Linked DNA regions of Diceros bicornis minor. The protein of the gene in region 2 purifies or fractionates together with the protein of the main gene of each other region. This does not show direct contact. Links are inferred from orthologs where the notes say so. Each region holds a gene or a part of one and is shown on either strand. Other genes may lie near its edges.

The links.
Region 1: the proteins of RPRD1B (region 2) and POLR2D purify together in Homo sapiens (affinity purification with mass spectrometry; 3 studies listed by BioGRID and IntAct, counting the BioPlex papers as one, with this or other methods). This does not show direct contact. The link is inferred for Diceros bicornis minor from reciprocal best matches to the Homo sapiens genes RPRD1B and POLR2D.
Region 3: the proteins of RPRD1B (region 2) and RPRD2 purify together in Homo sapiens (affinity purification with mass spectrometry; 4 studies listed by BioGRID and IntAct, counting the BioPlex papers as one, with this or other methods). This does not show direct contact. The link is inferred for Diceros bicornis minor from reciprocal best matches to the Homo sapiens genes RPRD1B and RPRD2.
Region 4: the proteins of RPRD1B (region 2) and POLR2M purify together in Homo sapiens (affinity purification with mass spectrometry; 3 studies listed by BioGRID and IntAct, counting the BioPlex papers as one, with this or other methods). This does not show direct contact. The link is inferred for Diceros bicornis minor from reciprocal best matches to the Homo sapiens genes RPRD1B and POLR2M.

The regions. Positions count from the first base shown.
Region 1 is NC_080749.1:5,087,789-5,094,913, forward strand, and holds the start of POLR2D (DNA-directed RNA polymerase II subunit RPB4), read left to right. Parts: upstream 1-4,118; 5' UTR 4,119-4,138; coding exon 4,139-4,211; intron 4,212-7,125. UniProt on the Homo sapiens protein: Core component of RNA polymerase II (Pol II), a DNA-dependent RNA polymerase which synthesizes mRNA precursors and many functional non-coding RNAs using the four ribonucleoside triphosphates as substrates.
Region 2 is NC_080758.1:22,147,429-22,155,228, forward strand, and holds the start of RPRD1B (regulation of nuclear pre-mRNA domain-containing protein 1B), read right to left. Parts: upstream 3,023-7,800; 5' UTR 2,643-3,022; coding exon 2,492-2,642; intron 1-2,491. UniProt on the Homo sapiens protein: Interacts with phosphorylated C-terminal heptapeptide repeat domain (CTD) of the largest RNA polymerase II subunit POLR2A, and participates in dephosphorylation of the CTD by RPAP2. Transcriptional regulator which enhances expression of CCND1.
Region 3 is NC_080743.1:54,811,283-54,818,688, reverse strand, and holds the start of RPRD2 (regulation of nuclear pre-mRNA domain-containing protein 2), read right to left. Parts: upstream 3,009-7,406; 5' UTR 2,430-3,008; coding exon 2,225-2,429; intron 1-2,224.
Region 4 is NC_080744.1:52,976,787-52,984,227, reverse strand, and holds the start of POLR2M (protein GRINL1A), read right to left. Parts: upstream 3,017-7,441; 5' UTR 2,905-3,016; coding exon 2,792-2,904; intron 1,028-2,791; coding exon 380-1,027; intron 1-379.

The DNA.
Region 1 (7,125 bases), on a different chromosome or scaffold from region 2:
AAGACTTCAGACCAATTCTTTGTATTACACTTGGTTGCCTCTTGGCTATATAACTTCAGAGTGCAAATCATTGAACTCTTTAACAAAGTATTGTAGAGAATAAATCATAATGGGTAAAAATTGTTCTTTGTGATGCCTATTTTTTTTTTCTTGGAACAGTGGTAACAGTCATTTTATTTTTGAAGACTGCCAACCAGACAGTGTTCATTCAGCCTGCATATTTTGTGTGGTGTTCATGACCCCCAATAACCTCGCACTTGTATATTTTTTTGTGGTTAGTAATAATGCCACTGGTTTTTTAGAGCCAAGTTTCTTGAGCCATGAGCCAAGAATTCATGAATCCTTTGAAATTTGGATTTTTCTAGAAAGAAGGCTCATAGTTTTCATTAGATTTTCCACTGAAACTGACCTTGCCCAAAAAGCTAAAAACTGAAGCGGGGAAAAAAATGCTCAAATTTAAGATGTCATCTGGTGACGTTAATCCAAGCAAAGACCCTAGGACATATTGATGGTCTGGCCAAAAGGGAAATGTTTTGGGCCAGAAAGGATGAGATGTGTTTGAAGAGAATGGTAAGGAGTAATGTTTCAAACATACAAACATTCATATGCTGGGATTGTCAGTCTTCAGTTGAGATTTTTATTTGCAAGGAAGTAAATTTTTTTTTTTTTGGGTTCCCAGTTCTGAGGGCCTTACACTTGGCAGACCTCATAAGCCACAGGTATGCATGCTGTCAGGCTTAGGTAATATTGGAAACAGACTACAAGCAACTGGTTAAACACTTAGAGATTTGGTTAGACTTAGAGACTGGTTAAACACTTCACAGATTTGATAATAACTCGGGTGTGTGAGAGGAATTCTTTCAAGAGAAATTATGGTTCTAGAGATTACTATTCCATATTACCTGTGATACCACCTGTAGTCAAACAGCATGGAATTCCATATCATTGATTTTTTTTTTTGGTGGTGGCGGTATAATATGTATAACATGAAACTTGCCATTTTAACAATCTCTGTTGTCTTCTGAAATGTGAACTAAGCCATCTAGTCAGAGATCAGTGGTGCTAATTCTTGTGGGAGTGGGGGCAGGGGAGGTGCTCTAAAGCTGCTTCCAGATCAATCTAGGGTCTGTGACCTTGGCTTGAATATCTGGCTTTGAAATACTACAGTGATCTGGCTGAAGGATCTGACTCTGAACCAACAGTGTACAAAGAACCATGTAGCGTCCTGAGGAACGTAATGTTAGTCCTGTCCCTCCTGCGTCTGTTTCCCTCGTTCTAAAATGAAACTCTGACAAGGATTCTAGGGTCTCTTCCTGCTGCTTACTCGCTCTGTTTCTATGAGGTTTTGTATGCTACAGCAAATTGGAAAACAAGTGACTCCTCCAATTTCAAAACTAACTATTGATGGGGGAACCAAACAGGAGAGAGTTCTCAAGTTCTGCTGCCAGTCAGACCCCGACTCCCAGTATGGCCATTGTTTCTTTGATCCCACTTTGGTTCTCAGCCAAAGAAGTAACCAACCAGAATGCTGACATTGGAATCTTCACAGTCTGGCAGTCTGATACTTGAGCTCAAATCTTGGTCCTGCCATTTATGAGCCAGACAACTAGTTCTGAGCCGAATTTCCTGCTTTGTGACAGGCCTGTGAATCTCCAAGGTAGCCTGTTGGAAATGCTTTACCAAGCCCCAGCACATGGTGCACTGGCTGAATGATTATGACTATCCAGACTGTCATCCAGTGCTAAGTGTAGATGGGAACAACTGGGCAAGTGTCAAACCCTCTGAACCCTAAGCTACTCTGGGCCCATGAAAAGAGGTGGCATAATTGGTGTACTCAGCCCTTCAAGTCCGGACAGGCTTCCTGAAAGACATGGGTGCTGAAATCAGCCCAGCTTGACCTGAAGAAGAGAGAGCTTCTCAGGTAGAGTCAAACAGTGCCAGGACAGCATGATGGGGTGGACGAGCCCTCTCAGGGCTCACTGCCCTGTCACATTGCCACAGGCCAGCCAGGCCTTAAAATCCTGGGACTCCCAGGACCCCCCCCCCCGGAAGTTTTTGTGCCTGGAAGTCAAAGGGTGTTGGCAGAATCACACAGCCCCACCCCCACTGTATATACCCCATTCCTTTGTATCTCTAGAGACTATTAATAGCATGAGGGAGAGGATTACAGGTGGATGCCTTTAGCTTCCTTTGTAGCACTTACCAGCAGACTTCAGCAGCTGGTGACAAAGATTTTTTAATTTATGAGAGAATAGCTTAAATTGGGAGATTCTGTACATTAACTTTGAGTATACAGAGAACTGCGAAATGTCATCATTCTACATTAGGGGCAGAACACCTGGGTCCAGGAAAATACATGAGTGATTCAGTCCACAAGCACTTTGAGAAGCACTGTAAAAGGTTACAAAAGGTGGAAATTACTCTTTTGATTGAAAAATGATAGAGCAACATTAATGAAAAATATAGCAAACATTTGTATAAGGGCTGCATAATTACTGTGTTTTCCTTCATTTTCCAAGAATGATATAATGAAAATGACATTTAAGGAAGTTGAAATATGAATTTACCTTAAAGAGCGAATATTTCTCTTATGTACCTGACAATTTTGTTCATGTGACTCCTCCCCCATCACTGACTACATGTTAAGGAGCGGTTCCAGGCCAGCCCCTGCTCCCCAGACCCCTTGACTCATCTACCTCCAATCAGAAGAGGCCTCTTTCTCTTTGTATCCTTCCACAGCACTTGTTTTTACTTTCTCGCATACTATTTGCTACTTTCTGTCTTTTATTATGGAAAATAAGTCCAGATCTTGCATCAGCTACTCCAGGAGAGCTCCTTGTGGGGACAGAGCTATGATTGATTCATCTTTTTAAACCCAGGGCCTTGTACATAAGCGTTTATAATGGTTTCCTGAATGAAAACGTTGTGGACAAACTAACCTGTGAAACATCACTGCATGTATTTTTTGTTATTTTCCTTTCTTCTCTCCTCACCTGCTGACTTCTCTCCTGCTATGTGTGTGCAGAAGCTACCAAGTGTGGGGTATCCAGCGAGCCCTCGAGCCAGCACATGGTGAGGTCCAGTAAGTAGTAGGTGCTCTGTAAAGCCCTGTCAGATGGACAGATGGAAGAAAGAGGCCTACACTGAGTTGCAGGTCCATTTCCACACCCAGCGGCTGCATGTCCTCAGACTTCTCAGCAGGACATCTGTCCGCAGTTCTAATGAAAGCACTTTGAAACAGTAATAAGCTCTGCCAATACTATGTAACCTACTATTATTTTACCCAATACATGCCTTCTGGAAATACACATACAGAGCAAATTAATTTTGTGAAAATTATATTTATAAATCAAAGGAATATAGGTACACATTCTTGTCTGGTAATATCTTAATTCATTTTTTGTTAACAGAGCTTATATGATACCTAAACATTGTTCGCCACTGAGCCACGTTGTGCGCTATGATTATTTCCTTTACGGTATAACCTGTTTTCTCTGTAGTTGAAAACACCATCATTTTTCATTTGCTTACTTTTCTATGTATCATCCAAATGCTCCAACAGATGTGTTAAAGGCCCCTCAATATCACTGTTCACGAGCTCAGAAGTATCCACTACAAATCAATCAAATTTTTTAAACGCTTAAGGCATTGAAAGGAATTCCACTGTATGTTTTCGTAGTCACCTACCCACCTTTACATCAACGGGAGTTCCTTGGGTCAGTCACTTGGCGCGTTTCTGCATCTCATCTAATCCGTTCCTCCGCCCTGGAAGGCAGGTTCCTTATCCACACTTCATAGGTGAGGAAGCTGAGGCTCAGAAAGGCCCAGTGACCGGTCTCAGGACAAGCGGCAAAGGACGTACTGGACAAGAGAAGGAGCACGGCTTCCCCCAGCGCAGGCCAGTGCAGGACGCCCTTGGCGCTCCGCTAACCTCCGGAACCCCGCCGCCCTGGCCCGGTCTCCTCTTCCTCTCTGGCAGCCCGAGTCCGCTCGCTTGCCCTCGGCCGCCTTTCCGGCCCCGCCCACCCACCGGCCCCGCCCACCTCCGCCAGGTGCCCGCCTCGGCCTCCAAGGCCACGCCCCTCCCGCGGCTGGCGGCTCAGCGCTTCCGCTTCCGGTGGTGTGGTTGGCGGCTGTGATGGCGGCAGGTGGCAGCGACACGAGGGCTGGCGATGTAGAGGAGGACGCCTCACAGCTTATCTTTCCCAAAGGTGGGGCCTGGGGCTGCCCGACTGCCCCTATCGTCCGGCTTGGTCGCCGCAGGCCTGGCGTTGCCGGCGCCCGACCAAGGTCTGGCCACGGCGGGCAGCCAGGCGTCCCCGGGCGGCGACGGGCGGGGGGGGCCTCGAGAGCGGGCCACCTAGGTTCGGCGCCTGCAGGCCTGGAGCCGTCGGCGCCCAGCCCACACTGCCCCTGGGCGGCCTCTTGTACCTGTTTAAGTCGTTTATTTTCTCTGATAAACCGCAAGGTGCTGGAGGGCTGTGTCAGGCTAGACAAAGCCGGCACTGGTCGAAGCGGTAAGGACAGATTGTAATCAGTAATATGCTGTCGCAGTAGGGGAAGAGTCCAGCGTGGCCTAGGCTCAGCTTCGATTTGGCGTTTTAAAGGAAGAATGAGGGGATAGAGAGGGGGTGAGCGGGGCCTCGACAGGGAAGTGAAAAATTACAGAAGGCGGGAAGGGGGGCTTTGGTCTATTTGAAACTCGTTTTGTTTGTTAACTGACACTTAGGGAAGTTCGGCTCCTGCCCTCCCTCTGGGCTGGGAGACAGGGAGCCTCTCTTCAGGTGTCGGCTGGAGCAAACAGTCCGTTATTTTAGTGGCCTTGAGTTTTCACAGGCAGGCGCTTTAAAGGGGCTGGGGTCGGCCATGAGCTGTTAGAAATCATGTTGGTGTTTTGTTCAGGTCTTTATGGGCCAAGGTTGAGGCCTAGTGGAGAAGAGGGCTCAGAAGAGCCCAGCTAGTGATTGGTCAAGGAGGGACTCTTGTCAGATGGCAAGGAGTAAAGCACATTTTGCTATCAGGGAACTTCCTCAGTGCAGTGGGATGCACTTTGCTTGTAATTTAGAAACCCAAAATAAGCAGGAAGCTTAAGATTTTAAAATACCATATTTTACAGGTACTGAAAAACACGAAGTAAACAGGGGAAACCTTAACAACACCCTCCTGTTTTAAAAATTATTGTATCCGGGCTGGCCAGTGGCTTATCGGTTGAGTGCGCACGCTCGGCTACTGGCGGCCCTGGTTCGGATCCCAGTGCGCACCGTCGCACCGCTTCTCCGCCCCACATATAGCAACTAGAAGGATGTGCAGCTATGACATACAACTATCTACTGGGGCTTTGGGGAAGAAAAAGGAGGAGAATTGGCAATAGATGTTAGCTCAGAGCCCGTCTTCTTCAGCAAAAAGAGGAGGATTAGCACGGATGTTAGCTCAGGGCTGATCTTCCTCACACACACACACAAAATTATTATATCCACAGTAACAAGTGAAACTCCACACCCCCTTCACCCAGAGGAAAGTACTGTAAACATTTTAGTGCTTATCTTTCCAGACTCATTTTATGCTTATTCATAAATATATACGTATACACTTTTTTCTTTGCAAAAATGCAATTATGCTGTAGAAATCCTACAGCTTTTTAAAAATTTGACTATATATTGTACAGAAGTCTTATTTTTTTAAAGGGCTAGATAGTACTTAATATATCTATTGATAGACTTATAGGTTGCTTCCAGTTTTTTATTTCATAGACTCAAGGTCAAATGTTTCTATAGGATAGCTTCATGGAAGTTTTTGGCATAATGGAAATATGTTTGTTTCTTTTTTAAGGTGTAATAACTAAGAGGGACATGGTTTTTCTTAATTTCATGGTAAATTAGGACAAATTTTTTGTACTTGAGTTTTATCTACGTAGTTTTTATTTAGTTTTTTTCTACTCAAAATATTTGTTTTGATAAAATCAGGTAACATCTGATACACATGAACATTTTATTGAATTGGGTATAATTAGATATTAGATCCTATCAATTAACAGTGTATCAGTTCTGAATATCTGTTATCTTTAACTTCTCAGCTGATATAGGCATATAAAATGTTTATTATGGGGGCCGGCCCGGTGGCTTGGCGGTTAAGCGCGCGGGCTCCGCTGCTGGCGGCCCGGGTTCGGATCCTGGGCGCTCACCGACGCACTGCTTCTCCGGCCATGCTGGGGCCGCGTCCCACATACAGCAACTGGAAGGCTGTGCAACTATGACATATAACTATCTACTGGGGCTTTGGGGGAAAAAGTAAATAAGTAAAATTAAAAAAAAATGTTTATTATGTATTTTAGAATGTATGTAGATATATAGTATTTAACAGTAAGTAATGGGCCGGCCCGGTGGCTTAGCAGTTAAGTGCGTGTGCTCTGCTGCTGGCGGCCTGGGTTCGGATCCCAGGTGCACACCGACGCACTGCTTCTCCGGCCATGCTGAGGCCGCGTCCCACGTACAGCAACTAGAAGGATGTGCAGCTATGACGTACAACTATCTATTGGGGCTTTGGCAAAAAATAAATAAATAAATAAAATTAAACAGTAAGTACTTAAAAGATAGGGAAAGTCTTTGCTGTAGGATGGAAAGTAAACAAATGTGTGATATTCCATTGTAGGACTGAAAGAATGGATGAGACGATTGAAAGCTTCTGAATACGTGTAGTGGTAGTTTTCACAAGCATATTTGCATGCAAATAAAATTTGTTCTTCATCGGCATAATTAACAGCAACTGTATGGAAGAAATTAGGAAGTAAGCCATTTTTTCCAAAAAAGATTATATAATCCCAGTCACTCCCTCCCTCAACTAAAGAAATCCCCTAAACCATTTTATTCTAGAGAGAAAAATGTACATTATAAGAAGACCACCTGAAATTGCTACCCTTATCATAAAACATTTATTAATGGTTGTAATGAAGAATCTTTAAGAAAATTCCTAGATGAGGTGCTGACCAAGGAATTGTTTTCCTTCTTACAGGAACAGGGATTAATAAATTGTTCTGAAAATATCTGCACAGAGGGAGAATAACATGCAGATTCCCTGATGTATTTCATTTTGTTTCCCAAATAAATTAAATTATGTATAATGTGTGTG
Region 2 (7,800 bases):
TGTCAATATGGTAGCCGCTAGCCACAGGTGGCTACTGAACACTTGAATTGTGGCTAGCAAAACTGGGGAATTGAATTTTTTATTGCATTTATTTAAAACTTTAGTTCCTTAGTCACACATTTCAAGTGTTCAATAGCCACATGCGGCAAGTGGCTACCTTGTTGGATAGTGCAGATACAAAACATTTCTATCATCATAGAAAGTTGTATTAGACAGTGTTGTTTGGATCCTTTATTCAACCATAAAAATGATGCCAAAGAACACAATTTAACTCCTAACCTATTTTTTAACTGAGTTACAGGCACCATGCCAAATGCTGTGGGCATTACAGAGAAACAAGAAGGCCTAGTTTCTCCCCCAAAACACAATCTAGTGAAAAAGACATAACTAGTAAGAATGAAATAAACACTAAGTTGGTGTGGGATGGGGTGGGAGGCAGTGATTAATTCCAACCAATGAAAGCACTACCGATTTGGCTGGAGTCAGAGAACCACCTTCACCTATTAAGTGCACTGAAGCACTGGGTACATACTTCAAAGCACATGTTTTGGCGTCGGAGAGCTCTGGGCTTATGTCCCAGCTGTATGCCCATGAACAAAGCACTTAATCTCGCCGTATCTTTATCTTCTCATCTATAAAATGGGGGATAATAACGCCAGCCTACTTACAACATAAGATTCCAACATATGAGATTAGGGTTAAAGGAGCTTCATAAACAAATGCACTCTCTAAATTGTTATTTTCAATAACTCAAATAGGGTGAGGTGGGGAATCAAGAAGACTTCACAAAAGAAGTGACATTTGAGATGGACTCTGACCTGTCTCTGAGATCCTACCAGATAGTATCCTGTAGAAGCAATTCATTTTTTCACATCTCAGATGTTGGAAATAATATTTGAATGGCACAGTGTAGTATAGGAAGAAGGCTTGGGGAGCCCCAGGCTCTATCCCCCAACTGCCCAGAGGGCTGAGAGGACCCCTATCTCAGTAATGCACATGATATGGGGGGGTGTCTCTGCTAGAGGGCGATAACCGAGTCTCCTGAAAGAATCCTGGATTTTGGTGTCTGCCAGCCTGACGTAGTCTGAGCCTCACCAGTTCTAAGGCCTTGAAAATACCACTTAGCCGCTTCAGTTTCCTCATCTGTAGGAGAGGGTGGAATCGCCACCTCACAGACAGTAGAGAACACATGCAAAGTTACTTCCCATGCTATAAAGGGCCTACCACATAGGCTGTCCAAAACAGCTCTAAGCTTCACTTCCTCAGCTTTCTGAAGGGAACTCAGGGGGCATCAGATAGCTGTGCAGGTGCCCATCCTCCCCCACCAGACTGTAAGCAACTTGGGGGCAAAGCCCATGTCTCACACTGAGTAATCAGGAGCCCACCTCACCAGTACATATCGAATGCCCACACTGTGCCTGACACCACGCTAGATGTTCATTTCGATTATCCTGTCTACTCCTCACAACAACGAGTTGTTTGAGCCTCAGTTTTTCCTCATCTGCAAAGTTCCTACTTCACCGGACTCTCCAGAATTCAGAAAATGACAATGTGTGTAAAGACATCAGTACTGCACCTCGCACATAATAAAAGCACAGTAAATGTCAGTTATCATATCTCCATTTTCCAGATAAGGAAACCGAGGACAGAGATTAAGCTGCTGGGGTCAGTAACTGGCAAAGGCAGGCTTAACTTCCAGGCAGTTGGCCTCTAGAGCCAACGTGCTACCAAGCACCCAGTCCAGGGCCTGGCACACGACAGGCTGAGCTCCGTGAATGTCCCCCTGTCAGATCCTGAGCAAGGTCTAGAATCAGTGCAAGTTGCATTAGAAGAGGAGCCTGACGGGCAAGGTCTAGGTGGTGTGGCCCCTCAACCTCTCTACAATGGGAGTAACTGCACCTACCCACTTCACAGGGCCGTTCTGAAGAGGGAGTGCGAGGATACACGTCAAGGTCTTAGCATAGGGGCTGGCACAGAATAAAGGCTCTGTAGGTGGCAGCTACCCTGCCCTCGTTTTACAGATCAGGAACGAGACAGACATGAAGAAACGCCGACATCACTCAGCAAGTAAGTGGCTGCGCAGGACCCAATCTAGGCAGTCTTACTCCCGAGTCCGCCGGCTCTTACGCCAAATGCCCAGCAAAGCGCCTGGCACACGACAGGCTGAGGCCAGCGCCCTCAACAAGGCGCTGAACGCCGCCCAGATAATAATGGTCCCAAGTGTCAGGAGGAGCCTGAAGGGAAAAGGGCTGGAGCATCCGGGTACCTGAGCCCTGGTCGGTGGAACCTCGGACCAGTACCTTAAACCTTCCCGGGCCTCAATTTCGTGCTCCGAGACATGGGGATAATACTGTTTCCAACCTCAGAAACGCAATCGGATGCCCGGGCCTGCAAAGCAAGGCTCAGTTAAGAAGCTAGAGGGGCCTCGGGAGTGGGTGGGGGAGAAGACACGCCGGGGGAGGTTCCAAGGGGGAGGGGAGGGGGTGATTACCTTTGCGGAGCTCGCGGTGCCACACGGAGACGATGGGTCCCGCGTGCTTGCGGTGGTGGATGAGCCACAGGGACAGGGTCTGCACGCTCTGCTGAGAGTTACTCAGCTCCGAGAGCTTCTTCTCCAGCGCCGACTCGGAGAAGGAGGACATGGTGGCAGCGGTCAAGCCCAGCAGGGAGCGGCCTGGGCCGCCCAGTGCGACGGCAAGAGCGACGCACGAGGCCTGGGCCTCACTTGACGGCCTTGGGGACTCTTTACTGACAGACAGCCAGCCAGGGGGGCAAAGAGGGGGAGGGGATGGGTCTCCGCAGTAACAGCGGCCCGTGCCGCCGCCACAAGATGGCCACCGACCTCTCACCCCGCCGCCACAGCGGGGTCAAAGGGCAAGGGCCGGAGGAGCTGGACACCAGGAGGTGTCAGAGCTGTGGAAAAAACGCCCCTCCAGTGGCGGCGGCCTCTCTGAACCTCGCTCAGGGCAGTTCGAAAGCCGCAGACGGGGAAAGGAGCGCACTTGAGCGGGCTCCGGAAGGCGCTTTCTCCGCTCGCGCCCGCACGCCGGCGCAGTGACCCTCCGCGGAACCCTTTCTCCCGCTCCCGCAGAACCTTTCTGGCGCGGTACGGCGCGCTAGTTAGCGCGTCACTTCCGGCGAGGAGGAGGAGGCGGGAGAGTGAGGGAAAGGCTGGAAGACGAGGTAAGGGAAGGGTGGCGGGAGCAACAGGGAACCCAGCAACCGCGAGCCCTTAGAGGGGGATCCTGAGGGGACGCTGAGGCGGAGAGATTACGACTTGGGTTTGGGAAGGGGGCTTCTTTCCTCACCTGGCTGGCTCCAGGCCGCACTCTTCCTCCATACACGTCCTGCTCTCTGGCCGCGCCCCCCACAAGCTTCTTTTTGGTTCTGCCAAGCCACCCACGTGCCGTTTTCACGCCTCCACGCCTTGGCTCTTGCTGTTCTTTCTCCAAAGGTGACGCCCACCTCTCACCTGGTGGCCTCCCATTCGGCCTCCAAGACCTCCCTTTAATGTCCAGTTCTGACGTTTAGTCTGTGACAGCACCGCCATGAAACACACCTTTGTGCTCTCCGCTCTTAATCGGTTGCTCATGCAGGGACTTACATGCTGCGCTTGCCCTCTGGGGGTCCAGTTGACTGTTTCTGAAATTTAAGTAATATGTTAACTTTCTGAGGAGCGGGGACAGAGAAGTCAGTGGATCCACTGACCTTCTTTAAGGAACACTATTTAAGACTCTGAACCTTTTTCCTATTTTTAAAAAGTTTTAAATTCCAGGTATCAAATCAGCAGAGAAATTTTGACCTTCTAACTGCTTAAGGGGGTGGAGGTAGGGAGTTAGGTTATTGAAGACATAATGGAATTTTAAAGTTTCCTGATTGTCGTGGAACTTCCCAGTTGTGGGCAGACAACAGTTAGGAGACGTTCTTCTAGCTGATGCCGGTTTTTGCTCTACTCAACTGTATTGTAGTTCTTTGCTTAGATGCTTTTACTCCTCCTCCAGACAAGAATCATCGTAATCATACCTAACATGGTGAACAGTTGCTAGAAAAACACTGTGTTTTCACGTAGTAACTCATTTAGTCCTCATGGCAAAGCTATGAATAGGTATTATGTTACAGAATTCCTATTTGGCAAATGAGGAAACTGAGGCAGAGAGAGGTTGGGTGACCTACCCAAGATCACATAACTGAGATTAGAGAGAAAGGACTGCATCTTATCTCTTTTTTACCCCAGCACCTGATTCGTAGCTGATTGAGTGAGTTGATATAAAAGAGATGAATAGCCCAAAATCACACAATATCTAGTCGTAATTATAACCTAGGCCTTTGAGTCCAAATCTAGACCATTTTTATGTATTAAGTAACACTGTTATATACTGAGTGCCTTTATACCAACTCACTGTGGATTAAGCACATTACATACATTCTTTTATTAAACCTTTACAAACAGTCTTATGGAATGGGGATTATTATCACTAATTGATAGATGAGGAAACATAAAACATGGGTAGGTAATCTGTCCAATGTCACTTGGACATTGTTAGGAAATGACAGAGCCTGGAGTCAAATCAAGGTTATCTGATCCCAAATTCTTTACTCCCAACCAGTGGTTCATTCATTCATTCATCAAATAATTTTTGAGCACCTATGTCTGAAGCTCTCTTCTAGGCAAACAAACAGAGAGAATCCATGTTCTTGGAAGCTTGTCTTCTGCAGGGGAAGCTGGGTAAACAAACGTGCAAGTATGAAATGAGTCAAAAAGTGATGAGTACCTTGAATAAAAGTCAAGGAGGGTGCAGGGGGTGAAGATGCCTGTGTGGGCGGATAGGAGTCTACTATATATGCTGCTCAGAGAAGCCTCGCTGATGCGGTGACATTTGATCAGAGCCCTGAAAGAAATGAGAGAACAAGCCATATGCTGTGTGGTGGAATATTGATCCAGGCAGAGGAAAAACCAAGTGCAAAGTCCTGAGGTTACACCATTGTTGGCATTTTTAGGAACAGCAAGGAGGATAGTAAGGCTGAAGTGATATAGACCAGAAAGCTAGAAATGAGCTCAGAAAGTAGCCAGGGAGCACATCACTTGAGGACTTGTAGGCAATAGTAAAGACTTTGGATATTACTCTGAATGAGATGAGAGTCTATTGTACGGTTTTGAGCAAAGGAGGAGCATTGTGGCTAAGTAGAAAATAGAGGGTACAAGCGCAAGGATGGAAGCAGGAAGGCCAGTTCAGCAGCTGTTGTTAATAGCCCAGGTGAAAGAATGACTCAGACCAGGGTGGAGGTGGTCAGCAAGGGTCAGATTCTGGGGATATTTTAGAGGAAGAGGTCACAGGATTTGCTGACAAATTAGATATGAGGTGTAAAAGATAAGAGTTTATATGGCCCCGAGAGTTTTAGCCTAAAGCAACCATAAGAATGGAGTTTGCATTTTCTGAATTGCGGAAAGAGCTGGTTTGGGGAGTAAGAGCAGGAATTTAGACTTGTGCGTGTCCAGTTGGAAATGCATGTCCAATGTCTCAGGCAATTGGGTTTATGGGTCTGGTGTTCAAGGGAGAGATCTGGGCTAGGATATAAATGTAGGGGTCCTATGGAGGAATAGATGTAGAAAGAAGAAGGACCTGGTGCCTGAGTCCTAGGACTCTTCAACATTTACAGGCCTGAAAGATGAGGATGGTTTAGTCATGTGATTTCTTCTTCAGCCTGTTAATATTAGTTACAGTGATTGATTTCCAAATTTTGAGCCAGCCTTACAGCCCTGGAATAAACCCTGCTTTGTCATGGTGTATAATTCTTTTCACATGCTGCTGAATTATATTCCCTAATATTTTGTTTAGCATTTTTGCATCTATATTCATGAGGGAAATTGGTCTGCAGCTGTTTTTTTTTAATTTTTGTATTGGTTTTGTTTGTTTTGTTTTGGTGAGGAAGGTTGTCCCTGAGCTACCATCTGTTGCCAGTCTTCCTCTATTTTGTATGTGGGGCCCTGCCACAGCATGGCTTGATGAGCGGTGGGTAGGTCCACACCCGGGATCTGAACCCGTGAACCCTGGACCACCGAAGCGGAGGGTGTGAACTTAACCATCTTTGTCAGATTTTGGTATCCGCATAATACTAGTTTCATAAAGTGGATTGGGGAGGCCGGCCCCATGGCATAGCGGTTAAGTGTGCACACTCTGCTGCTGGTGGCCCGGGTTCGGATCCCGGGCGCGCACCGACGCACCACTTGTCAGGCCATGCCGTGGTGGTGTCCCACATAAAGTGGAGGAAGATGGGCACGGATATTAGCTCAGGGCCAGGATTGGCATGGATGTTAGCTCAGGGCTGATCTTCCTCACAAAAAAATAAATAAATAAATAAAATGGATTGGAAAGTGTTTCCTCCTCTTCTTTTTCTAGAAGATTGTGTAGAATTGGTGTCAATTGTCTTTAAATGGTTGGTAGAAGTCCCCAGTGAAACCATCGGGGCCTGGAGATTTCTTTTCTTCTCTTTTTTTCTTTGTATGGTGTAAAAGTTTGTAAAAAGTATGTAAAGTTATTTGTGGTATTTCTGTATTATTCTTTGATATCTACAGTCTGTAGTGCTATCTCATTTCATTACTGATATTAGTAATTTCTCTCTCTCTCTCTGTCTCATGAGTCTTGCTAGAAATTTCTCAATTTTATTGATCTTTACAAAGAACCAGTTCTTTGTTTCATTGATTTTCTCTATTGTTTTCTGTTTTCAATTTCATTGACTTCTATTCTGATCTTTATTATTTCTTCTGTCTGCTTACTTTGGATTTATTTTGGTTGTCTTTTTCTAGGTTCTTAAGGTGAGAGTTTAGATTATTGGTTTGAGAGCTTTCCCCTTTTCTAATATATGTATTTATTTTATTTTATTTTATTTTTTAAATTTATTTTTTCCCCCCAAAGCCCCAGTAGATTGTTGTATGTCATAGCTGCACATCCTTCTAGTTGCTGTATGTGGGACGTGGCCTCAGCATGGCCGGAGAAGCGGTGCGTCGTTGCGCGCCCGGGATCTGAACCCGGGCCGCCAGTGGCAGAGTGCACACACTTAACCACTAAGCCACGGGGCCGGCCCTAATATATGTATTTAGTACTATAAATTTCCCTCTCAGCATGGCTGTAGCTGTGTCCCACAAATTTTGATATGTTGTATTTTCATTTTCATTCATTTCCATGTATTTTTTTAAATTTCCTTTGAGATTTCCTCTTTCATCCATGGATTATTTAGAAAGATGTTGCTTAGTTTCCAGGTGTTTGTTGATTTTCCTGTTATCTCTCTGTTAGTGATTTCTAGTTTGATTCCATTGTGGTTGGGGAACACACTCTGTATGATTTCAGTTGTTTAAAATTTGTTGAAGCTTGTTTTATGGCCCAGGATATGGTCTATCTTGGCATTCTTCTGTGGGCACTTGTATTCTGCTGTTGTGGGTCGAAGTATGCTGTAAATGTCAATTCGATCCTGTTGGTTGGTGGTGTTGAGTTCTTTTGTTATCTTTGTTGATTTTCTGTCTAGTTGTTCTATCAGTTGTTGAGAGAGGAGTGTTGAAGTCACCACCTATGCTTGTAACCACTTGTACTTCTCCTTTCAGTTTTATCTGTTTTTGCTTCATATGTTTTGTGGCTCTGTCATTTTGTGCATACACATTTAGGATTGCTGTGTCTTCTTGACAGATTTACCCTTTAATCATTATACAATGTCCCTGTCTGTCTCTGGTAATTTTCTTTGCTCTGAAGTCTACTTTATCTGATATTAATATAGCCACTCTTGCTTTCCTTTAATTAATGTTTGCAT
Region 3 (7,406 bases), on a different chromosome or scaffold from region 2:
ATTAACTGTAAAGAAATACAAAATTAAATGAAAATGAGGCCCAATGCATAAACTGTTTTCATCATGCCCTTCACCACTCTCCTGAATACTTCTCTCAAAAGGCTTTATTTACAATAAGACAGACAATGTTCATTAAATGTAAATACAAAACCACTCAAAACTACCCTTAACCATTTTAGAAAGCTAAGTTCCATTTCACTAAGGGAAAAAAAGCAGGTTTTTAGAAAGCCAAAAGCATTTAACTATATAAACTATATATAATCCACTATCCACTTCCAAATTAAGTATTGTCTTCCTAGAGCAATCATTTTTTTGCTCTTAAGATATCAACAAGGGAAATAAGCTCAGGCACAATATCAACAACAGTAGAGGCCGAAAAATTCTGGCTCCAGTATATCTCATTATTGCTGACTAAAAAAAAAAAAATACTGTAATTGTCATCTGTAATCCCACAAGGCAGGGATGGGGACCAACTTACTCTTGCAAATGATGTAACCATATAGTTAAAGCACCAGAGTCCAAAGGTAGGAAATGTTAAATGTTTGAATAATTTAGTAAAAACGTTTTAAAACAGGAAGGAGAATATGTTTAAGGAGAATATGTCCTCAGGCTTACATGAGCACTGCTTGCTACCACTGGTGTACCAAGTACATGAAAGAATAATCTTCAAAACATTATTTTAAAAAGTTAAATGTGGCCATTGTTATCCGATATGGTGGAGTCAAATCCTAACTCCACCATTTTACTGTCTAACCTTAAGCAACTTGCTTAACATTTCTGAGCCTTAGTTTCCTCATCTGTAAATCAATGACTAAAAAATCTACTACCAGGGGTTATTTTAAAGTATAATGCAATAGATATTGTAAATGACAATAAAGGGCTGGGCACATAGCAGATACTTAATATGTGAGAGTCTTTGATGATGACTGTTATATTTGAAATTGTATGTTCTAATTTTACCTCTTGGAAAGAAAGAAACTTCAATCTGCTATTGGTAAATACAGGTAATCCTGTGTTGGTTCTACAACTCTTTCAGCATATATTATTCAAAGAGCCACAAAACACCTCTCCCAACAATAACTTTGTATACAAATGGTTTGAAACCTGGGGCCAATGATTTTGCAGGTTTTACCCTTGGGTTTCCTAAAACGTAAACAAATCACAACACTACAGGGGCAATGGCAGAAGTGGAAGAAGAATAACTGGATGATGGGTCTCACTGGTGACATACCATAGACAGGAAGCAACAAAAGACCTAAAATTCAAATAGATATATGGATTTAAGGTTAACCTCTTCTCAGTAGGAAGCAACAGTGACTTCTCCAGACTTCCTCCAAAAAGATTTGAAATCTTTTGCAAACAATCCATGCTTCCTGACAGTTTAATAGACCTCTTTTCCGTAGTAAAGCAGCAAAGTGGAAAAAACTCCCCATGAAAACAAAAAAGCAATAACTGGGTAAAAAAGTACTATAGGTGTATTCAAAAAGCACATTTCTTGATTTCCTATTTTGATTACCTATGAAACCAAACTCAATTCCTTAAAAAGGTACTTCAAGTGATTCCAAAGTAGCCAGATATGTTTTACACTTTAAGATATTAGTGATGATACAGACTACAGTTGTTTCCGGTCAGTATCAAGAAGCCTGGATTTTACTGCAGCAAACACAGGTACAGGGAAACCCCCAGGTCGTCGCCTCGGCTCCGTATGGAGCTCATGTTACTTCTTAACATTCACCAAGGTAAGCCTTTCTTACTACACCTCACAAGTTTTAGATCAGTCAAAAAATAAAGTAGTCGAACATATTCCAGCGAAATACGTGGCTTTACTACTGCTTAAACCATAGCTTGTCTATCTTCAGGAAAACCAGGAATCATTAACACGACAAGGCCTATAAGAAATAAACGGACGCGACAATTAACGTGAAGGTTCAGTAAAGTCAACAGCACCTTACAAGGCTCTGAAATGAAATAATACATAAATCTCTATCGATCTGGGCCCGATGGCCCAAGGTTACACCAAGTCAGTGGCTAAAAAAATCCAAGAAATAATGAGCCTCCTGCAGTTCAGGACACCCCTTGGCTAGGAATGGAGTCTAGGTTTGGGAACACTCGAGCCAAAGCTTTAATGGAGACAACCCCAACCGAAGGCAGTGGCTCCGTGGGAAAATCCCAAACGTTTCGAGCAGTATTTCCTTCCATTTCCCCAGTCACCCCCAACACTCACATCTCCGGAGCCACTTCATCCAATGGTAGACGATAGTAGTGTGGTGTTTCTTGTTCTCTATACACCAAGACGACAGGCCTTGAATAGATTCCATGGTGTTAGTTACCGACTGGAATTTTCGATCCAACGAGGACTCCAGAGCCCCCGCCGAAGAGGCCGACGAGGAGGAGGCCTTACTGCTGCCTCCGCCGCCGCCGGCCGCCATCTTCCCGCTTTGCACAAGCGCTGCTGCTCCTCTGGCGGCCGCGGCGGCGGCGGGAGCGGACGCGGGCAAAACAATCACTGCGAATGCGTGAAAGCCGTAGGTGGGGAGGGAGGCCAGGGGGTGGGGTGGTGCACGCGCTAGGCTCTTCTGGAGGTAGGACGGGAGGACCAAGCTGCTGGGCACGCTGGCGGCTCCTACACGCTGCAAGGTTGGGCTGCGCGTTTCGAACGTTTATCAGAATTGTTCTAAGGACTTGTGTTTAAACCAGTCAGTAATCACGGAAGAAATACGCAAAAAACAGGTCCTGCAAAGCCTCTCAAAATGCCTGGCCGCGAAACTAATGGTTTTATACTCTTCGGCTCTCAACGCTAAGGCCCTTCCCCACTCCTCTTCCCACTTACTCCAGTAAGGGCGGGCGTTAATATCTTAAATTTAATAGTACCCGACTGCCCCTTCAGTTGCAGAAATCTTTCCCTCTCCTTTAGATCCTCTAACACAGAAAAGGCCCAAGGCTACCTAGTCAGGATTTTTTTTTTGCAACGCAACAGCAGCAAAGGCACAGCAACAGTATCGCGCACGCGCTGCTTGGCCCCGCCCCCCCTCCGCTTCCTTCTCAACCTGGAAAGCAGAGGGAGGCGTGATGGCGGGGCAATCCGACCAATCGAGGGAGAAGAACGGGAAGCGCGCGCAGGAGCCCGCAAGCCCCAAGGGCCAAGGAGGCGCTTTGATTATTTGTGCGCCTGCGCAGTAGATAAACGTGTAGCGGGTTAGAAGAAAAACGGGGAGGGACGGGTGAGGGAGCTGGTCAAACTAAGGAGAAGGGTTGGGGGGAGGGGCTTCACCGCTCCGCCCCGCCTTCTGCTTCCTAGCGAGGTCTGTCTCTTGAGGCTGTGCAGCTCACACAACAAGGCCGGGAAACTCCCCCCACTCAGCGGGCACTGTTACTCTCTGGCGGCTGCAACCGCCGCCGCCGCCGCTAACTCCTCGAAGCACCAACGGGCGACAAAGGGGCTGGCAGCCATTTTGCCCTGCCTTACAAGATGCGCATGCGCCAGCTCCTGCGAGCCATTCACTACGCAGACTCTAGACCAAACAATATTTTACACTGCCCCTTGGACGATACCACTCGCAGTCACTTAACTATTTGGATTATAGGAAGAGGAAGTAAGTGAAGTGAAACGAAAAATTGCCCCGTAAAATTTTCGAGACGAGGAAAGAATAAAAGGCAAAGTGTGATCTCATCTTCAGTTGTGATGCAATCTCACAATTGCATAATACATTATAGTTTACCAGAGCCTTAGATATCTATTATATTGATTAGCACAACCTAGATTAAGCATTCCATCTCATCTGCCTATGCAAATCCTCTGGGCAGATTTGGAGGCTCCTGTGTTCCACTGAACACATGCAATTACGTATTGTATTTTAATTTTCTTACATCTCCCTAGTAGGCTCACGTTTCTTGATGCAGGGAACCTGTTTTATCAAGCTCATATCTAGTATTCATTAATTCAACAAAAAGTTGCTGAACGTCTTGTGCCAAATACTGTTCTAGATGTTGGGGAATAACAGCTAGCAAAACGGACAAAAATCCCTTCTTTTTCGGGCTAGTGGCAGGAGACCATAAACAAATGTATATCAGAGAGTAAGAAGTTCTATGAAGAAGTATGAAGCAGGGTAAGGGAGGGAGAGGACATTGTGTGTGATCCTCTATAGGGATGGGAATGGTGGTTTGGTGATCCAGGAAATCTTCTGGAATGAAGTGACCCTTGATCTGAATGTTAAGAACAAAGTAACCAAGCAGCTATCGCGGAGGTGGAGAAGAACATGCTGGCAGAAGGAACAGCAAGTGCAAAGGCCCTAAAACAGGAATGTCTTGACATATCAGAGGAAGAACAAGGAGGCCAGTGTGGCTGGAGAACAGTAAGAGAGGGACAAGTGGTAGGAGAGGGCTTGAGTAGGGCCTTGCAGGCCACTGTAAGGACTTTGGCTTTTAACTCTGAGATGGGGAGCCCTTTTAAGCAGAGAAATTACGTGGTGATCTTTTTAAAAGATCACATTGGGGGGCCGGCCCAGTGGCATAGCGGTTAAGTGGGGGCGCTCTGCTGCTGGTGGCCTGGCTTCAGATCTCCAGCGCGCACTGACGCACCGCTTGTCAGGCCATGCTGCTGTGGCTGCGTCCCACATAAAGTGGAGGAAGATCAGCACAGAAGTTAGCTCAGGGCCAGTCTTACTCAGCAAAAAGAGGAGGATTGGCATGGATCTTAGCTCAGGGCTGATCTTCCACAAAAAAAAAATCACATTGGTTGCTATGTTGAAAATAGACTTCAGAGCCACCGGTTAAGGAGGCTTTTGGAATAATCTACACAAGGAAATGATGGCGGCATTACCAGAGTTGTAGCAAAAAAGATAATGAGAAGGGGTGTCAGATCCTGGATATATATTTTGAAGGTAGAACTAAAAGGATTACTCATGGATTTAAGGGGAATATGAGAAAAATGAGTCAAGTATGACATGGAGGTTTTTGACCTGAACAATTAGAACAGTGTTTCTCCACCTTTTTTTTCATTATTGTTGCCCCTAAAGATCCTTTTTAGATTTTTTTCCTAATCCCCCCAACCCTCATGAGGTTGTTTTTTTTTTTTTTTTGGTGAGGAAGATTAGCCCTGAGCTAATAGCTGTTGCCAATCCTCCTCTTTTTGCTGAGGAAGATTGTCCCTGGGATAACATCGGTGGCCATCTTCCCCTACTTTATATGTGGGACACCTGCCACAGCATGGCTTGATAAGCAGTGTGTAGGTCTGCACCTGGGATCTGAACCTGCGAACCCCGGTCTGCCAAAGTGGATCGTGCAAACTTAACCACTATGCCACTGGGCCAGCCCCCCTCATGAAGTTTTAATGCCACAGATATATTGTATATCTGTTTATGTATTGCATGTATATCTGTGCTTTATACAAGAGTAAGCATGAAGTTTACTCTTTCTATTCAATGCAGAATTAAGAATGACTAAAATCTTTAAAAATTAAAAATTTTGAAGCTATTAATATTTAACTTAACTTTATAATTGTATTTGCTGAGTAAACTTTAATGTATTTATTTAAAAAATAGTAATTTATCATATCACATATGAAAATTAGCAATTCATACAAATGCATAATAGCAATGTAATCTTTTTAAAAATCATTCAAAACTATTATATTTCCAGCGAAAGTAAAACAATTGAAAAAATTAAATTTCTTAAAAATTTTTAGTGAACTTTTAACTTTTACTTGACATGAGAAAATTATTAGCCACTTAGTATTCAGATATTGTTGACATTTTTTCTTCTCAGCATTTGACATAGTTAATGATGCATTCAATAACTTTTATAGAATAATAAAATATCAACTATTTTTATTTGCTTTTTAAAGCCCAAGTCATATGCCAGAAGCACTGAGAATCAATCACACAAGGCGGTACATGACAGCCAATAGTCATGTGTAGGCCACTTCCTGTGTTAGGACTTAAAAATAGGGCAATAGAGGGAGAGAAAGTTCTTCAATCACAGCCATCTATTCCTCATAGTTTTGTAGTACTGACCTTGCATGCATTTTGTGTATCTCCCATGAACTCAATATCATTGCTGCTTGTAGTCATACCCTAGAAAATGAGAGATATTAAATAATAAGGAATAAAATTTTGTTAGGTAGAGTTGAGCTTTGAGGGTCACAAACCATTGTAATATCTAAGATATTTTCATTCCCCAGAGCCAATTTTTTCCCCTGTGGGATGATATTGCCCCCATTGAGAATGCATGAATTAGAAGAATGGAGTTGCCATTTTCTCAGATAGACCAGGAGAGGTTAGGGGGAGGAGTAGTCCTGTGAGAAATGAGTAGGAATTAGGATTTCAGTTATGGACATCTTGACTTTAAGATATCAGACACAAAAATGGCACTAGATATATAAGTCTGAAGTTCATGAGAGAGGTCTAGGTAGGAAACATCAATCTAAGAATTGTCAGTATATAGAGGGTGTTGAAAGCCAAGAGATGGATGAAGTTGCCCAGGAAGTGAGTGAGTGTAGATAGAAAAAAGGTCCAAGGACTGAGATATAAGGAGCAACTTGCAAAGGAGATTGAAAAGGAATAACCAGTGAAAAGGGAACCCAGAGAATAATGTTCTGAAAGCCAAGTAATGCAAATTTGTCAAGGAGGGAGTAATCAATTGTTAGGTGTTGCTGTGTAGGTTGCATAAGATGAGGACTGAGATAACCACTGGATTTGGCAACACTGTGCTCATTGGTGGTCTTGACAAGGGTTGTTTCCAGGAAATGAAGTGATTGGAGAGAGTTCTAGAGAGAATGGGAGAAGTGGAGATATCACAAATAGACAACTCTTTCAAGAAATAAAATGGGAGCAGAGAAGGAGCTGAAGCTGGAGAGAAATGTGAGTTCAAGGGGTCATTTCTTTTTCCAATATAGGAAATAACTGTAGCTGATGCAAATGATACATTAGGGGGAAATATTGATACAGGATAGAAATGGGACAATTGCTGGATTGATTCCCTTCAGTAGGTGGGAAAGGGTAGGATCAAGTGATAGGTCCACAGACTGTTCCTTTCTTGTAATAGGAACGTAGTGCATCCAGGGAGAGATTCAGGTAAGTTGGTTGGTAGGTTCGTTGGTGAGAATGTGCAGAAATTCTCTTCAATTACTTCTGTCATCTCAGTGAAATAGTCACTGTACTGGTGCGGAGGAAACACTCTCTTAAAAAGCACCAATGGGGGCCTGCCAGGTGGCGCAAGCGGTTAAGTGTGCGCACTCCGCTGTGGCGGCCCGGGGTTTGCTGGTTTGGATCCCGGGCGCGCACTGATGCACGGCTTGTCAAGCCATGCTTTGGCGGTGTCCCATATAAAGTGGAGGAAGATGGGCACGGATGTTAGCCCAGGGCCAGTCCTCCTCAGCAAAAAAAAAAGAGGAGGATTGGCAGATGTTA
Region 4 (7,441 bases), on a different chromosome or scaffold from region 2:
TCTTTTGCTGAGAAAGGCCATCAGCTCCTGTGATTGCTTTTCCCTTAGCCTACAGTCTAATCAAAGGGGGGAGCTGTATACCAGAAAATGGTTCCGGGGAAAAAAGCATAATAAATTCTCTAACTCTGTGTTTATTATGAAATATTGCCTAAGCATCCCGAAATTTAATACTCCATCTGCTATTTAAAATCTTTTCAACTATTTGGCTAAAAAAGCTTAAGTATTTTTCAACATAAATCCTCTGGTCTGTTTACAATATGTTCATTCCTAACCACAAGTAGTTCTCACGCACAAGTCCACTGAACTGAAAGCATTCTTCCAATTTTTGAGTTTAACAAATACTATGTTGCCATGACAGCCTGTTTCCGATGGTACTTACACATTGGTTTTAAATTTATGTGGTGGGGGCACTGGGTTTTTGGCTCGCATTTCGAGCACTTCCAAGTAATGAGGCTTCTTCTGAGTCCCACTACAAAGGCCTGTCAAGTTCTCAGTACTGGTGTTTTCTTCAGAGTGGTGTTCACCTGGGTCTGCAATTGTGATCCTTTGTAACCTATCAATAAACAGGTTGTCAGAGCTGCTAGAATGATCTTCTGCTTGACTTGAAACACGATGCTGAGGGAGACGCTCGCTAGCTTTGGATGAGGAAGGCGCGCTGTCTCTGCTGCTGGAAGCTGGGCACTTGTTCACTGCGTACTCAACCTCTGGAGCCTCTGCATCACCTCTGTGAGTAGGATATACAAGTCCCTGTTGTTGTGAGGTTGTTCTAGATGACTTGATGTTATCTACAGAGGAACAGCCAGGAACTAGTGATGAAGTATCAAGGATCTGGTCAGAGTTCTGGGCCTTATCCGTGTCCACGTCCACACCTGCGACTGCTTTTTGCCTTAGCTTATGGTCTAAACTAACAGGATGAAACAGTTCACTCTTCCCTCTAACTTCTTCACGTTCTGCAAGGGCAGCTTTCAGTTTGGCAACAGAGTCTATTATCTTTTTACCTTTGTCGGGCAATTTGCAAATGAATTTTCTGTCAAATGGAAAAGAACATGTATACATTAGAGCCATGGTTTTAAACGTGAGATATAAAGACAAAGCATTATCATCAAAAGGACCAAAATTGACCTTTAAGTCAAAAATCTGATTTCCAACTGCCCCAAAACAGGAATGAAATAAGACAGTCACTATCCAAATACCTCAAAAAAACAAGGACATGCAGGAAGAATGGGGAATATGCCTCACTTGTCTCATCTAATTAAAATTTCAGCAAAAGTATTTTAAGCATATAAGAACCATATAAAACATTACAAAAATCAGTAGTTTTTAAAGTGTGATCTCCAAGACCTTCCTAGGGAGGGGAGGTGGATGAGTCTGCAGGGTCAAAATTATTTTCGTAATAGTACTAAGACACCATTTGCCATTTCCCTCTCATTTTCTCACATGGGTACAGTGGAGCTTCCCAGAAGCCACATGATATGTGAGGATATCACTGCTCTGATGGCTAATGGAATGTGTGTGCTTTTGTATTCTTGTGTTTTAAAAGTTTCTCACTTGTAATTTCTAACACATTGATAAATATCAGTATATATAACACATAAAACCACAGCTCTTTGGGATGCTCAACAATTCTTAAGTGCACAAAGGGGTCCTGGGACCAAAAAGTTAATTCACTGCTAAAGATTAAAAACTCATTCTCACAAAGTCAAAAAACTTGTCTCTACTAGGAAGAACCCAAGTGATTGTTCGTCCCTTTTGCTGAATGACAGAAGTTACTTTTCAAATTCCCTTGTCTTTAGCTAAACAATAAATGGGGAGGGAAGTTACATCTCAGGCCCTCTATTCTTTCTCTGGCACTATATTCGTTCTCACAATTTCAACTAGTAACATCTCTCTCCAGTTGCGATTCCTGTATTTTCCCAACCTTCTCCTCTCTCTCTTGAGCCTCATGACCACTTCTGCAGCTTTTAACCAGGTAACTAGTTAACTCAGCATGCCTTAAGTAAAATCAACCTGGGAAGTAGTCCTCTCCACGTTTTTCTTGTTTTTATTAATGGTTTTCCATACAGGCTGGAAACTTCAACCCTCTCTGTCAACTACATATTCAAATTATTCCACGCCTAATGTAGTTTTTCCAATCCCTCAACTACCTTTCTAGTTCGCCTTCTTACAACCCCCTCGTTGGGAACTTTTCTGAAGATATCCTCCTACTGTCTTCTGCCTCTTATTCCTTCCAACCATCCTGCACCAAGCTGCTAAATTTAGCTTCCTAAAAAAAAATTACTTCCATTATATAGTTCCCCTGCTAAAATCCGTTAAGTCTCCCAGCTGAATGAGAGTCAAACTTTCTCTGCCTAATAAACCACTCTTTATATCCCACTCTTTCCATTTCCTACGGTTCCTGTACAAATAGGATCGAACGATGCAACTGAGATGATGTTTGGGACACGATGGGGGAGGGGGAGAAAAGGACGTAGTACACAGAGCCTTCCTTCGAGGAACAGACACGGCAGCTGAGTAAAGAAAACCAACGCGGAGCTAGCGGAGAGCAGAAAGGCCAAGCCGCCGTTCAGCACAGGAGCCACCCCCAAGGGCGGGACGCGCCGGCCGGGACGCGCCGGCCGGGACGCGGTCGGCTCTGCGGCTGTAGGCCGGCCACTCGCCAGCCGGATGGGACGAATCTGACTGAGGCAAGGTCACCTTCCAGAGAAGGCACGGGGGGAGGGAAGGGAGGGACGCGTCCCGGGGAGCCCGAACCGAAGGAGCCTGGCAGTGACTGGGCGGGAGCCAAGCTTACTCGTTGCGCAAAAGTCTCTCCTGGCGCTTCAACATCTCCCGCAGCTCCGCCAAACTCCGCTGCCCCAAGTCCTCGGGAGCTTGGGGCTCGAAGCCGCGGGGCAGCGAGGACATTCTGCGGGGGCTGCGCCTGGCGAGGCGGCGGGCACGCGGCTTCCTCGGCAGCCCCAGCTGCTAGCGCCGGATCCGCGGCCGGCGGGGACTCCGGGGCACGAGCGGGAGCCGCCATTTTCCCGGAAGAACAAGTCGTCTTCGAGCCGAATCGAGCTTTATTGAAACGCCGGAAACAGACACAGACTAGGAGAAGGGGGCACCCGGAGGGGCGGGAAGGGGCGGAAGTGACGGGGTGACGTCACGCCCCGGCTGGGCTCGCTTTTGCGGTGCAGGTTGTTTCCATGTGCGTCCAGTCTCCGTGTGTGTATTCAAAAAGTATTTACTGAGTGCCACCGTGACCTCGGCAGGTAGCCACGGCCCTTGCCGCTAGACAGGCTACCGAGTGGTGGAGGAGGCAGACGTTAATCAAGTAAGAAGAAAACAGTGTAATAGTAAGATTGGGGTGGGCACCAGGGATGGTATCTCTGAGAAGTGAAATATAAGTGAAATCTGAGTGATGAGTTAGCTAGCTGTTGGTGAGGTTGGGGCGGAGTGCAGGACAGGGTTTGAGGGGCCCTGGCCTATGCTATGGCACCTCCTAGCCCAAGACTTAGTGAAGTCCTCAAATGTTAACGTTGGAAGGATCCTTGGGACCATTGGCGTTTCTTAATGGGGCTCTATGGCATTTGAAGCGGGACTTTTCTTCATCTATGGCACTGCCTCAGGCATTGAAAGACAGTTGGTGTCTGGCTTCTGCCCACTAGTTGCTACTGCCACAGTCACTGTAACAACCCCAAACGGCTCTCCTGACCCCTACACACACGTTTCCCAAGGCCCATGAGAGGTGAAGGGGGTGGAAATAGCTGTCCAAGCCAGCTGAGAATCACTTTCACAATTCCCTATTTTGCCTATAGAGAAACAGAGGCACAAAAACTGAAGTAAGTATTCCCAGGACCCCAAACAAGTCAGTGACACATCAGATTTCAAACTCAAATGTCCAGCTGCTCGTTCCACCACACCACTTTGGAAATTTCCTCCTTCTTCATTTTATGCCTATTTCCAAATGTATAATATTGTTGAAAAGTTTCTTTCCAGCTGTTGAGAAGAGGAAGGAAGTGTCATAAGCATCACAGCCAGCTCTTACCTTCTCTTTACAGTTCAGCTAACAGAGCCATGTCCCAAAAGATTGAGTAGGAAGCATGCACGAGTTGCAACAGATATCGATTGGGAAGTTTGAACACCCCCATAAACTCCAACTCCCCATTCTTTGATATGGAAAATTTAAATTTTCTAATCCTATGTCAAGTGCTATAATAAACACAAGCAATTCCCTCCCAATCAGACAGAAGCTCTAGATAAAAGCAGAAGCTACTCCAGGGAGCACAGTTGAAGTCATTTCTATATCCTCCCAATCTAGTCCATTCTAATCAGATTAATGTATCAAAATTCTCAACATAAGCCCAGCTTTCAAGGACTTCAATACCTGCTCCAGCCCTGGCTAAAGAAGAAATACTTGAGTAAGGCCTTTGAGTCAGGTAGTTGTCCCGCTGGCAAGCTCCCCCAAAGGCTCCCTCATCCTGTCTCTGGCCGCAGCTGGAGGCCTTTATTCCCCCACAGTAGTCATCCCCATCTTCTAAGATCCTGGGCCACAGGTGTCCTCAAGGCGAGGATGCCTTTCTCTCAAGCCTCAGAATTTTGCCCCTGGCTGTTGTCCTCTTGTGGAAGGCTGTCCCTTTCCCCCCACCCCATTATAAATCTTGGCTCAAGTCTCACCTCCGCCCTGAGCCTTCTTAGATTTTTCCAACCCAAATTGCTCTTTCTTTTGAGCATAACTGTAGTGCTTACAGTCAGAACCTCACTATGAACCTGACAATATGAAACATATAATGCTTCTCTCATTGTGTTATGCATGGTGATTTCTTTTTCCTTTCTAACAAAATTTTAAAGTCAGGGAATTCTGTCAGAGAGCTGGGTTTGTACTTTTCTGTCTCCCCCTAATGCACATAACGGGTACGAATTGACAGGATCTCCCTCTCATAATTTTTTTACTCCATATTCCTCTTTCTCTTAATGAAAGTCCTTTTTGTGTATACAAACCTTAAGCTTTTTCTGTAAGTATTAACCATAATTACTGTGAAGATATTTTCAGTGGTATGGGATAGAATCTTTTACACAACATAGCTTAGGACTCAAGATGTCATAATACAAATCTGAGTTCCTAACCACAGCTATGCACAAACTGTCTAGCTCTCTTTTCAGTAACCAAGCAGGCTAGTTGTGCTTCAAAATGAAAATAGGCAACATATTCTTTTATAATCTGTCAAACAAACAAAGATGAGTATTTAGAACGCAAACTTTAACAGCAATTTCTGGGGAAAAAGGATATAAAATGGAGAGATTTCACAAGCAGAGAAATGTTTACCTGTTTCCAGCCAAACTGGGCAAAACACTTGAAAAGAAATGGACCCACAAACCACAGGCAGCTAATCTCCGCTGAAGAATTCCAATTGTATGTCAAAGAGCCCTTCTGTTACAAAATTGAATCTAGACAAGTGTTTTTGGGTTTTGTTTTTCAATACTCATTAAAAAACTCTAAATCATGTTTTCCTATGATACTTGGATTAATCACCTGAGTGTTAATTGCCCTCAGAGTAAACTAATGAACTTGGCTGTTACAAAGAAAGAAAAATTCACAACGAAGAATTAAAGGAAAGGAAAATTTCATCAGCATATGAAGTGATGCCTGGATGACTTAGCCATCCCATTTCCACCAACCTGCCCAAGGACAGTGTTTGAATGTGATTTAAAGATGACAAAATCAAACAGAAAAACCCGGGAAAGATTTCCATTTGTCCTTACAGAGTTGAATATAACAATTGCCAATCAATTGTAAAATTGTAACATTAATCTTCAGAGTCTGCAGGCTGCTCTTCTCTGTTTTCTCCCAATGATTGTCAGTTTGGGGGCGTGAACGGCCACAAAACTGGTCACAATTTACCTGGAGTACACCAAAATGGCAGCAAAAATATTTCCCGTCCCACATGTTCTTAGTATGTGAATTTAACACTCCTCCTCTCAAGAAATGGAGTTGATGTTCCCTATCCTTAATCTGGGCATGCTTATGACTAGAGCAAAAGTGATTTTTCCAGTCTGCATGGTAAAAGATGATGCAGCTTCTGCCTAATTTTCCTGAGGTGCTTACTCTTGGAACCCAACCAGCAAGCCGTGCAGAAACCTGAGTTTGCTTAGGTGTTTCGGCTGTCAGTCCAAGCTGAGGTCTCAGCCTAACGGCAGCATCAGCCACCAGACGTGTGAATGAACGAACCTTTGGATGATTCCAGCCCCCAACTGTCAAGTCACTACCAGCCTTCCAGACTTCCATGTTGGAGCCCCAGAAACTCTGGAGCAGAGACATCCTCACTAGGCTCTTTCTGAATTCCTGATCTACAGAATTTGGGGCCATAATAAAATGGTCATTATTTCATACTTTTAAGTTTGGAGTGGTTTGTTAAACAGCAATAGTAATGGGGACATTATTCAAGGTTAATCCCTCCATCTATGCTCTGGATCCCATCCATTTTGCCTCCTTGGAGATCTCATTCATTGGTTCATTTAATAAATATTTATTGAGGACCTATCGTGTGTAAGACACTGTTCTAGGCTTTGGAGATATAGTGACGAATGAGACACGTTTCCTGCCACATTGAAACTTTCATTCCATCAGATAGTACTAAAGTGTTACATGGAGAATTAATACAGGTGATGTGATAAGGAGTAATTGGGAGGCCACCTTGATTGATTGGGTGATTGAGGTTGATTTTTCTGAGGATGTAACTTATAAGCTGAGACCTGAATGTCAAGAAGCAATTAGCCATAGGAAAATCTGATGGAAAAGTATCCCAAGTAGAGGGAAGAACAAATACTCAGGCTCTAAAAGGAGAAAGAGCTCCTCAAATAACAACAGTTAAAAAGGCTGGGGCTAGATCTTGCAGGGCTTTGTAGACCAAGATATGGAGTTTGAATTTTATTCCAAGAGAAATGGGAAGCCATCTGTGGTAGGCAGCCTCTAGGATGGCCTCCAATGGTCCCCCTAGTGAGAAGTCCCCCTCCAACTGAATATGGGCTGGACTTACTGACTCACTTGTAACAAACAGAATATGGTAAAAGTAATACCAATGGCAGAAGTGATGGGGTGTCACTTCCAAGATTAGGTTATAAAAGATTGGAACAGATATTTCACCAAAGAAGATGTATAGATGAAAAATAAGCACATGAAAGGTCACCGATGTTATTAGCCATTAGGAAAATGCAAATTAAAAACACAATGAGATGCTACTACACAACTATCAGAATGTCTGAAATTAGAAAGATTGACTATACCAAGTGTTGGAAAAGATGTGGAACAACTAGAGCTCTTATACACTGCCAATGGCAATGTAAAATAGCACAACCACTTTGGAAAACAGTTTGGTAGTTTCTTAAAACCTATTATATGACCCAGCGATTCCTCTGCTAGGTATTTACCCAAGAGAAATGAAAGCATGTGTCCATACAAAGT